Linked DNA regions of Oryctolagus cuniculus. The protein of the gene in region 1 purifies or fractionates together with the protein of each later gene. This does not show direct contact. Links are inferred from orthologs where the notes say so. Each region holds a gene or a part of one and is shown on either strand. Other genes may lie near its edges.

Evidence for each region.
Region 2: the proteins of GAN (region 1) and NUDCD3 purify together in Homo sapiens (co-immunoprecipitation; 3 studies listed by BioGRID and IntAct, counting the BioPlex papers as one, with this or other methods). This does not show direct contact. The link is inferred for Oryctolagus cuniculus from reciprocal best matches to the Homo sapiens genes GAN and NUDCD3.

What each region holds. Positions count from the first base shown.
Region 1 is NC_091449.1:63,462,125-63,466,516, reverse strand, and holds the start of GAN (gigaxonin), read right to left. Parts: upstream 2,877-4,392; 5' UTR 1-2,876. UniProt on the Homo sapiens protein: Probable cytoskeletal component that directly or indirectly plays an important role in neurofilament architecture.
Region 2 is NC_091447.1:51,876,900-51,881,355, reverse strand, and holds the start of NUDCD3 (nudC domain-containing protein 3), read left to right. Parts: upstream 1-1,636; 5' UTR 1,637-1,977; coding exon 1,978-2,169; intron 2,170-2,462; exon of another isoform or gene 2,463-2,482; intron 2,483-4,456.

The DNA.
Region 1 (4,392 bases):
AATAAAAAATAAAGCACAAGGCAAGCACCCAGAGCCTGTCTGCTCCGGGATTCCTGCCCAGCGACTCCGGGAGCCGTTGGCGCGCCTTTCTCCAAGGAGCTGCTGTACTTTGAACGCTGCTCGGGCCGGAAACTCGCTGCGATGACTTTATGCAGGCCGCCTCCTAGCTTGTATGTTCATTGTCTCTTGGCACCACTCGCCGGCGCCAAGCCCAGTGCTGGGCACACAGTGGTGCTCACTGAATGTCAGATGGAGGGAACTGTGACTATAGGCGCTTAATAAATTTTTTCTAAATCAGTTATACACATTATTTGTGGTTTTTTTTTCCTCAAGTGGATTGTCATTAGAGTCAAAAACGACATATGGCAGGGAAAGTTCACTGCAAAATGTAGCTACTTGAAAATATGACTGCGGGGGCTGGCGCCCTGGCCTGAAGTGCCGGCATCCCATATGGGCGCTGGTTCGAGTCCTGGCTGCTCCACTTCTGATCCAGCTCTCTGCTATGGCCTGGGAAAGCAGTAGAAGATGGCCCAAGTCCTTGGGCCCCTGCATCTGCATGGGAGACCCAGAAGACCCAGAAGAAGCTCCTGGCTCCTGGCTTCGGATCGGCACAGTTCCAGCCGTTGCGGCCATTTGGGGAGTGAACCAGCGGATGGAAAACCTCTCTCTTTCCCTCCCCCCCCCACTCCTCTCTGTGTAGCTCTGACTCTCAAGTAAAAAAAGATAAATCTTTAAAGAAAGAAAGGGCACCGCGGCTCACTAGGCTAATCCTCTGCCTGTGGCGCTGGCACCTGGGTTCTAGTCCCGGTTGGGGCGCCGGGTTCTGTCCCAGTTGCTCCTTTTCCAGTCCAGCTCTCTGCTGTGGCCCAGGAAGGCAGTGGAGGATGGCCCAAGTGCTTGGGCTCTGCACCCTCATGGGAGACCAGGAGGAAGCACCTGACTCCTGGCTTCGGATTGGCGCAGCGTGCCGGCCATAGCAGCCTCTTGGGGGCTGAACCAACGGTAAAGGAAGACCTCTCTCTCTCTCTCTCTCTCTAACTCTGCCTGTCCAGAAAAAAAAAGAAAGAAAATGCTGAGTGTGGAGTGCTACGTCTTCCACCAGGGTCAGATGGCCGGCCATCCTGGAGTGGGAGGGCGGCCTTAGCTGAAGTAACTGGAGGAGGGTGGGATTAGTCAGCCTCCTCTGGGCACACGTGGACCTGCGGTTATTGACAGAAGGAAACAACGAGAGGACCGGGCCGGAGGCTCCTGGACAGACCCGTGTAGGCCAGGAGGAGTTGCTGGCCTGAGGGGGCCGGAGGGCAGGACACCTGTACAGTTCTGCCACCCCCGCGGTTTGCATGGTTTGCGCCTCCATCGCGTGGTGAACTCACTCTTCCTGTAGCTCAGCCTCGACCCCCGCAGTCAGCTCCCCTGCGCTGTGTCCATGCCTGTGTGCTGCACCTGCCACACCGCACCACCATTTGTTGGTTAAAAGTCTTCCCCTAAGCTCCTGCGTCCTCTCGTGTCCCCAGTGACTGGTGCTTGACGGGAGAACCCTGAATGCGTCACATAATGAGCTAGGGGTGGGAGTCAGGTACATGACCAAAGCAGAACGGGATTTGGGGTGTCAGACCATAGGGGTGAGGTGGTTATGGGGAACTGATGGCTCTGTAGGGTAAGAGTCCAGTGGTACCAGATTTGACAGTTCTTCAACAGAGTGAACAGTCAGGTTTGTCAGTATTAACACATTCCATTTGGAGACTGAAGAAGCATGGGCTGCAGACAGCATCTGGCTTTAATTCATTTTAGAGGGAATCAGGGAGCCATCTTGCTTTGCCAGTAGGAAGTGTTGAGTTGGGTTCAGGTGCCCTGGGGAAGGAAGAGGGCCCAGGTGTGGGAGGGAGGATTTGGGAGGCAGAGCCGGCCTCCCACTGCTGCAGGAGCCACTCCCGTGGAGCCTGGGACTGTTTTGAAGCCTTTCTTGATATTGCTCAAACCAAGCCGCCCTTGACATTATGGCCAAGAGAGTGGGGAATATCATGTTATTGTTCCCCCACATTCCATAGGTGTCAGAAATCAGGTGCCATTGTGCAACGTCATCTAAGAGATGTGATAACATCTTGGCAGTTTCAGTCTCAGATAAATGGTTTTGTTTTATCTGAGAACCAAAAAGGATGTTTGCAAGAGATCAACAGTAATCACTCACTCAACAAGTGTTTAGACACCTGCCATCTGACGTGCTGCGGGCACAGGGACACTGACGCTACCATGCGAGTGGTATTAGAGACTTTTGCTACCTTTGCACTTTCCCCCATTTGTATTTTCTGCATGAGCCATGTGCCCTTTTTACAACCAGGAAAATAAAAAACAAGAAAGCAATTTCCATTTGCAGAAAGAAGAAGGTTCTCTTGCTTTGAAAAACGAGTCAAGAGACGGATGCCCTTGGGGATTTGGACTTTCACAATAAGAGAGAGAGGCCAGTAAAAGCAGTACTGAACGGCAGGGGAACAACTCACAGTTTGAAAACTTTTGGGCCGGCGCCGCGGCTCACTAGGCTAATCCTCCGCCTTGCGGCGCCAGCACACCGGGTTCTAGTCCCGGTCAGGGCACCGGATTCTGTCCCGGTTGCCCCTCTTCCAGGCCAGCTCTCTGCTGTGGCCCGGGAGTGCAGTGGAGGATGGCTCAAGTGCTTGGGCCCTGCACCCACATGGGAGACCAGGAGAAGCACCTGGCTCCTGCCTTCAGATCAGCGCAGTGCGCTGGCCGCAGCATGCTGGCCATGGCGGCCATTGGAGGGTGAACCAACGGCAAAAGGAAGACCTTTCTCTCTGTCTCTCTCTCTCACTGTCCACTCTGCCTGTCAAAAATAAAAAAAATTTAAAAAAAATAAAAAACTTTTCAGAACTCTCACCTCAAATCCAACATCCATGTGCGTGAAACCTGAGTGAAGGTCGCACGCGGCCCAGCAGGGCCCACGCAGACCGAGGCGCAGCCCTTCTGCCTTCCAGCCCTGTAAGCTTTTCCATGACACCAACCTGACTCTTCGTAAACATTAATTTGGTCGAGACCGTCTCTTCTGATTCATCTTGAGGTAGTCCTCAGACATTTTATTGGGTAGGTCTGTCATGTGTCCAAATCTAAATATAGTTCTTTTGTTTCCGAAAAATCAAAGCGCTTCCAAATCGCTGAGTCAGAGAACCTCTCCGTGCCTGCAACGTTGGCTCTGTATGTTTACAGTCGCCAGAGAGGTGTCTTGGGCACCAGTGCACTAATTAACTGGCCACGATGCTCCACGGAGTGAGTGACCATCTCTGTCCAGACCCCGCACCCAGCACGACGCCGGACACACACAGTAGGGGCTCGGTAAGTACCTGCCGCATACAGGGAGGAAGGACTCTTCTCTCCACAGAGAGCACCTCAGAGCTGCTGTCCCCGCGTCCCCGCGTCCCCTCCAGCTGCTGAGCTGGCGGCCCCTTGGCATCCCCAGGCACGTGTCCACAGACGCCAGGAAATCAACTCCTGACTATCCCTGGCATCTCACCGTTCCCCAGGCAAGTGGGAGCGCCATCATTTCCCCACGAACAGGAACCTGGGGTCATGCAGCCTTCATCGCATTCAGCGAGTCCTGCAGCTTCTAGGCAGGCCCTCCTCAGTGTGCAGCTGCTTCTAGAAGCCTCCACCAACAGCCCCTGACCTAGCACCATTCGACTCCTGCAGCAGCCTTCTCACCCTACCCTGCTCTTCTCTTGCCCCCTTGTGGATTCTTCCTCCCCATAAGGCAATAAGTCAAGCTGCTTCCTCATTCAAAACCCTCCATCAAAATCAAGGAAAAAAAAAAAAAAGCTAAAGTCCTTACTGTGGCCTACAAAGGCCTGTGGAATGTGACCTCTGTCTCATCTGTGACCTCATTGCCCGCCACATCCCCCCTCTCAGTGTGTGCCAATCAAACTGGCCTTCTTGCTCTTCCTTGAGCAGAGGCCTGCCACGCACACACCTCAGGGCCTTTGCACTGCCTCGTTTCATAGCCTGGACACCTCTTTCCTCGTTCTCCCAGCTGGTCTTCACTCGGCTTCCTGCACAGGACCGCCCTGGGCCTGCTTCATCCTTCATTACATTGAATCACTGCCTCGTTACCTACGCTTGCTGGGGACTGTGTGTCTCCTCTGACTCTAATACGGGTTTCATGGGGCCTGGCAGTGTGGACATTGAGCATACAAATAAAAGCATTCTGGTCACACCCATCTAAAACAGAGCCAACAGGCCCTGGGAAAACACTGTCAGATCACAAACAACTGTTTCAGAAGCTTTCCTGTTTGGCCAATGCTGCAAAACCACCTGCCTCATCTTGAAGACTATTCTGTTGTTGTTGTTGTTAGCGACTGGTGACGGAGGTGCCAATGTGACCTGCAC
Region 2 (4,456 bases), on another chromosome or scaffold:
AATGGCATAAATGGGTCCTAAATCAAGGGGGATTTAGAAGCAGTGGTCTAGGCAGTGAGTTTTGTTAGGCAGGAAGTTAGGTATGAGCTTGTGTGTGTGTGACAAAGGCCTCCGGAGAAGACTTCTACGTCCAGCATATGCATCTACATCTCAAAGTTATCCCGATAATGCTTCAGGGGCAGCCCAGTGTTCGCATCCTGCCCTGCCCCCTTCTACCTGATAACCTGCCAGGTGGGGGTCCCCGCCCCTTCTGCCTGACAAATCTTCCACAACCTCCCAGGTGCAGCCCAGTATCTGCATTTCAAACACCCTGCTCTGATCCCCATTCTCTAGGGGGTCCTGCTCACCCTTCCTCTGAACCCAGGACGGCACCAGCTAGGCTTCCTCCTGTCTGATACCTTCAGGGGAAAACCCAGATAGGAGTTTCTTAATATTTACAGCCATAAAATCCTTTGTTTCAGGAGGAAATGTGAGAAGACAGAGACCCATCTCCTTAAAAACCCCGCCTAAATGTAGACCGGGCACTCTCTCTCAGGTCCTGTCTGGAGAGGTGCCCATCGGTTCTTGCGGATGTCCCTACCCTAATAAACTTTGCTATTTTACCTCCCACTACTCTCTGTCTCACGCCCGAATTCTTTCTTGTGCGAAGACAAGAACCCTGCCATTTCTACGGTAACAGTTTCACTTGGTTTTCTTCTTCTTTTTAAAATTAATTAATTTATTTGAAAGGCAGAGTTCCAGAGAGGCAGAGGGAGGGAGGGAGGGAGGGAGGGAGAGAGAGAGAGACAGAGACAGAGAGAGAGGTCTTCCATCACTGGTTCACTCCCCAGTTGGCCGCAACGGCCAGAGCTGCACCCATCTGAAGCCAGGAGCCAGGAGCTTCTTCTGGGTCTCCCACGTGGGTGCAGGGGCCCAAGGACTTGGGCCTTCTACTGCTGCCCCAGGCCACAGCAGAGCTGCATGGGAAGTGGAGCAGCATGTGGGACGCTCGCACTGCAGACGGAGACTGCACCCGCTCCGCCACAGCGCCCGCCCTCGCCTGGTTTTCACTTGCACACACAGCGTCCTCGCGCAGCACGAGGCCGCGTTCCCTTTTCGTGCAGGTAACATCATTCGCATCCCTTGGAAAAGAAACCCCGGCTGGATCGTCTTGTGGGCGCCAGCAGCCTAACGACAGGGCGGCGTGTTCTCCAGCTCCCACTCCCTGAAAACCTGTGACCCAGCTCGAACGCACGCTCAGCCATCTCGCTGGATGTCTCCACACCTCTTGGATCTGCGTTCACTGCACATTTTTGTGAGTATCGTGTTTTCCGTTTTTAAGATACGCTTCGACAGACACGGGTGTATTTACGACGGATATGCGCATTAGCGTTCATCGTCGTCATTATTATTGTCTGACCAGTCCAGGCTGCTGGACCCCCACGCACCCGTGTTTTTCACACGACTGCACACTGGACTCCCTGCATGTGCGTGGACACACACGCTCGGCGTTTCTCTGCTTCTCAAGCTCCCCCACAGAAACCCACACAAACCACACGCACGCATTTGCCCTCGTTAAGAGCAGGGTCGCACGCTCCCAACAGCGGCTGGGGACACCCGGAGGGACGAGGCTTCCCGCACCACGTGACCAAACTCCCGCGATCACGTGACGCTGCCCTCGCCACGGCTCTTCCGCCCGCTTCAGACATGGCCGCCAGCCGGCCCTCGCACGGCTGCCACGGGCTTTCCTGCGCGTAGCAGCTTTGTCTGGTCCCAGACCCGGCTCTTTCGGAGAGCGCTGTCCTAGGAAAAGCGCGGCGGGATCTTCGGGACGTGGCGAGTGGGGGCCGCTCGGGGTCGCGGGGCAGATCGAGGGCGGACCGGAAGTTCCGCGGGTGAGCTGTCCGGGGGAGCGGTTGGGCGCGCGCCGGAAGTGGCGGTCGGCGGTCCGCGGGACCCGCGGTGTGCGCGTCCCTGGGTGGCGACAGCGACGGCGACATGGAGCCCGGGGCTGCGGAGCTGTACGACCAGGCCCTGCTGGGCATCCTGCAGCACGTGGGGAACGTGCAGGACTTCCTGCGCGTGCTGTTTGGCTTCCTCTACCGCAAGACTGACTTCTACCGCCTGCTGCGCCAGCCGTCGGACCGCATGGGCTTCCCGCCGGGGGCGGCGCAGGCCCTGGTGCTGCAGGTGAGGCGGCCACAGGTGTGGGCCGCGCCTCCCTCCCGTGGGCGCGGCTGCGCGGTGGGAGGGGCGGGAGCCGCGGGCGGGGCGGGGCGGGGCGGGGGTCGGGTGGTGGGGGGCGCCCCGCTGGCCGGGGGGTACCTGCGCGCTCGCCGGCCCAGGGCGGCCCTGGAGGGGCGGTTAGGGTCGCCTCCGGACTCGGGGTGCACGCCTCCCAGGCTGGGCTGGTCGCGAGTTGGGAGCGACCCGGCGAAGTTGGCACTTGCAGTAAGCGTGTACCGAGCGTGGTCCGCACCCGGCCGCCACGGGCGCGGCGAAGGTGGGCTTCAGGGGGCTCTGCAAGGCCGGCTGTGGGCCGGAACCAGCTGGGAGGGAAGAAAGAGAAATGGGGGCTGAGGGCTGGGCGCCTGGCGCGCCGCGTGAGGCCCGCATCCCGCATCACAGCCCTGGGGCTCGAGTCCCGGCCGTGTTGTCCACTCTGCCTTCGTGCTGTGGGCAGCCGTGCTCGCCGGGTACTCGGACCCTGCCACCCAGGTGCGAGACTGGATGGCGACCAGCCCCCCCTGGTCTTGGCCTGGCCCAGCTCTGGCTGTTGCCGGCGCTTGGGGGGCGGAGCAGTGGATGGCAAATCCCTATCTCTCTCTCTCTCCCTCTCTCTCTCTCCCTCCCTCCCTCCCTCCCTAACTTTGAAATGATCAGTAAACAAATTGACGATGGAGAGAAACCGAGGCTTTGTGGGCGAGGTGGGACTGGGTGAGGCTGGGGGTGAGTGCTGGCGCAGCGCTGAGCCTGTGTGTGGGAAGCTGGGAGGCAGACGTGCTGTCGGTGACCCCTGGCGCGGTGCTGTCCGAGTCGCTGTGCCAGGTGCCCCAGCCTCTCAGGTGCTGCTTCCCTCGGATCCGGCAGGAAGGAGCTTGCGGCTTAGAGCGTGTGAGGAGTGTGTGGTTGTGGCCCGCGCAGCGCAGGCCATTCCGCATCCTTACCCGTGGCCTGGTGCCGTGGCAGCCACCAGGAGCTGGCACAGCGGCTGCCGGGAGGACCGGGTGACAGTGTCGTGGTGGTCTCGCAGCTGGTCTTCCCAGGGCTCCCGTGGGATAGGTAAGGGTGAATTTGGTGCACCAGTTAAGCAGAGTTAAGCGCTCTGGCCAAGAACACACAGAGCTGGAACTGAACACTCTGCACTGTCGGGTGGCCGTTCCGCAGTGGGATGGCAGTAGCTTGCAGAGAGGTGTGGAGGAGGAAGGAACGTGAGTCTGCTGGGTCCGTGTTTCCACCGTGGAGTGTCACTCTAACTCTGCACGCCGGCAGAGGGTGGTCTTGATCCTTGGATCGGGGATGGATGCGTCCGTTTATCTGGTGACTATTGACGAAGCACCGAGTCTGGCCTGACACGCTCACTCAGTAGATTTGTCGGCCAGTGAGTGTCGTGGGGGCGCGGCAGCAGGGACCCAGGCAGGGGAGGGAAGAGTCGGGGGATCCGCAGTTGGAGGGACGAGTCTCCCCGTCTTTGTTCCAATATCTGGCTCCTGTGGGAGATAAGAATTCAAGACAGAGGCGAGGTTATTTAAAGGGAGAGAGTGAGTATACATTCAGGTATGAGTGTGGCGGCCCCTTGTCGAGAGGTGCTCACGAGGAGAGAGCGCGCGCGTGAGAAGGCTGGAAAAGGCCGCCCCACGTCCCGTGACCCCTTTTATGGGGTGGGATGGCCCCCTAAGTGAGTGTGCCCGTGTGCAGTGGGTGTGCTGTGGTGTGTGAGGGCGGGGAAGCCCCCTAAGTGAGTGTGCCCGTGTGCAGTGGGTGTGCTGTGGTGTGTGAGGGCGGGGAAGGCCCCTAAGTGAGTGTGCCCGTGTGCAGTGGGTGTGCTGTGGTGTGTGAGGGCGGGGAAGCCCCCTAAGTGAGTGTGCCCGTGTGCAGTGGGTGTGCTGTGGTGTGTGAGGGCGGGGATGGCCCCCTAAGTGAGTGTGCCCGTGTGCAGTGGGTGTGCTGTGGTGTGTGAGGGCGGGGAAGGCCCTAAGTGAGTGTGCCCGTGTGCAGTGGGTGTGCTGTGGTGTGTGAGGGCGGGGAAGGCCCCTAAGTGAGTGTGCCCGTGTGCAGTGGGTGTGCTGTGGTGTGTGAGGGCGGGGAAGGCCCCTAAGTGAGTGTGCCCGTGTGCAGTGGGTGTGCTGTGGTGTGTGAGGGCGGGGAAGGCCCCTAAGTGAGTGTGCCCGTGTGCAGTGGGTGTGCTGTGGTGTGTGAGGGCGGGGAAGGCCCCTAAGTGAGTGTGCCCGTGTGGCGTGGGTGCGCTGTGGTGTGT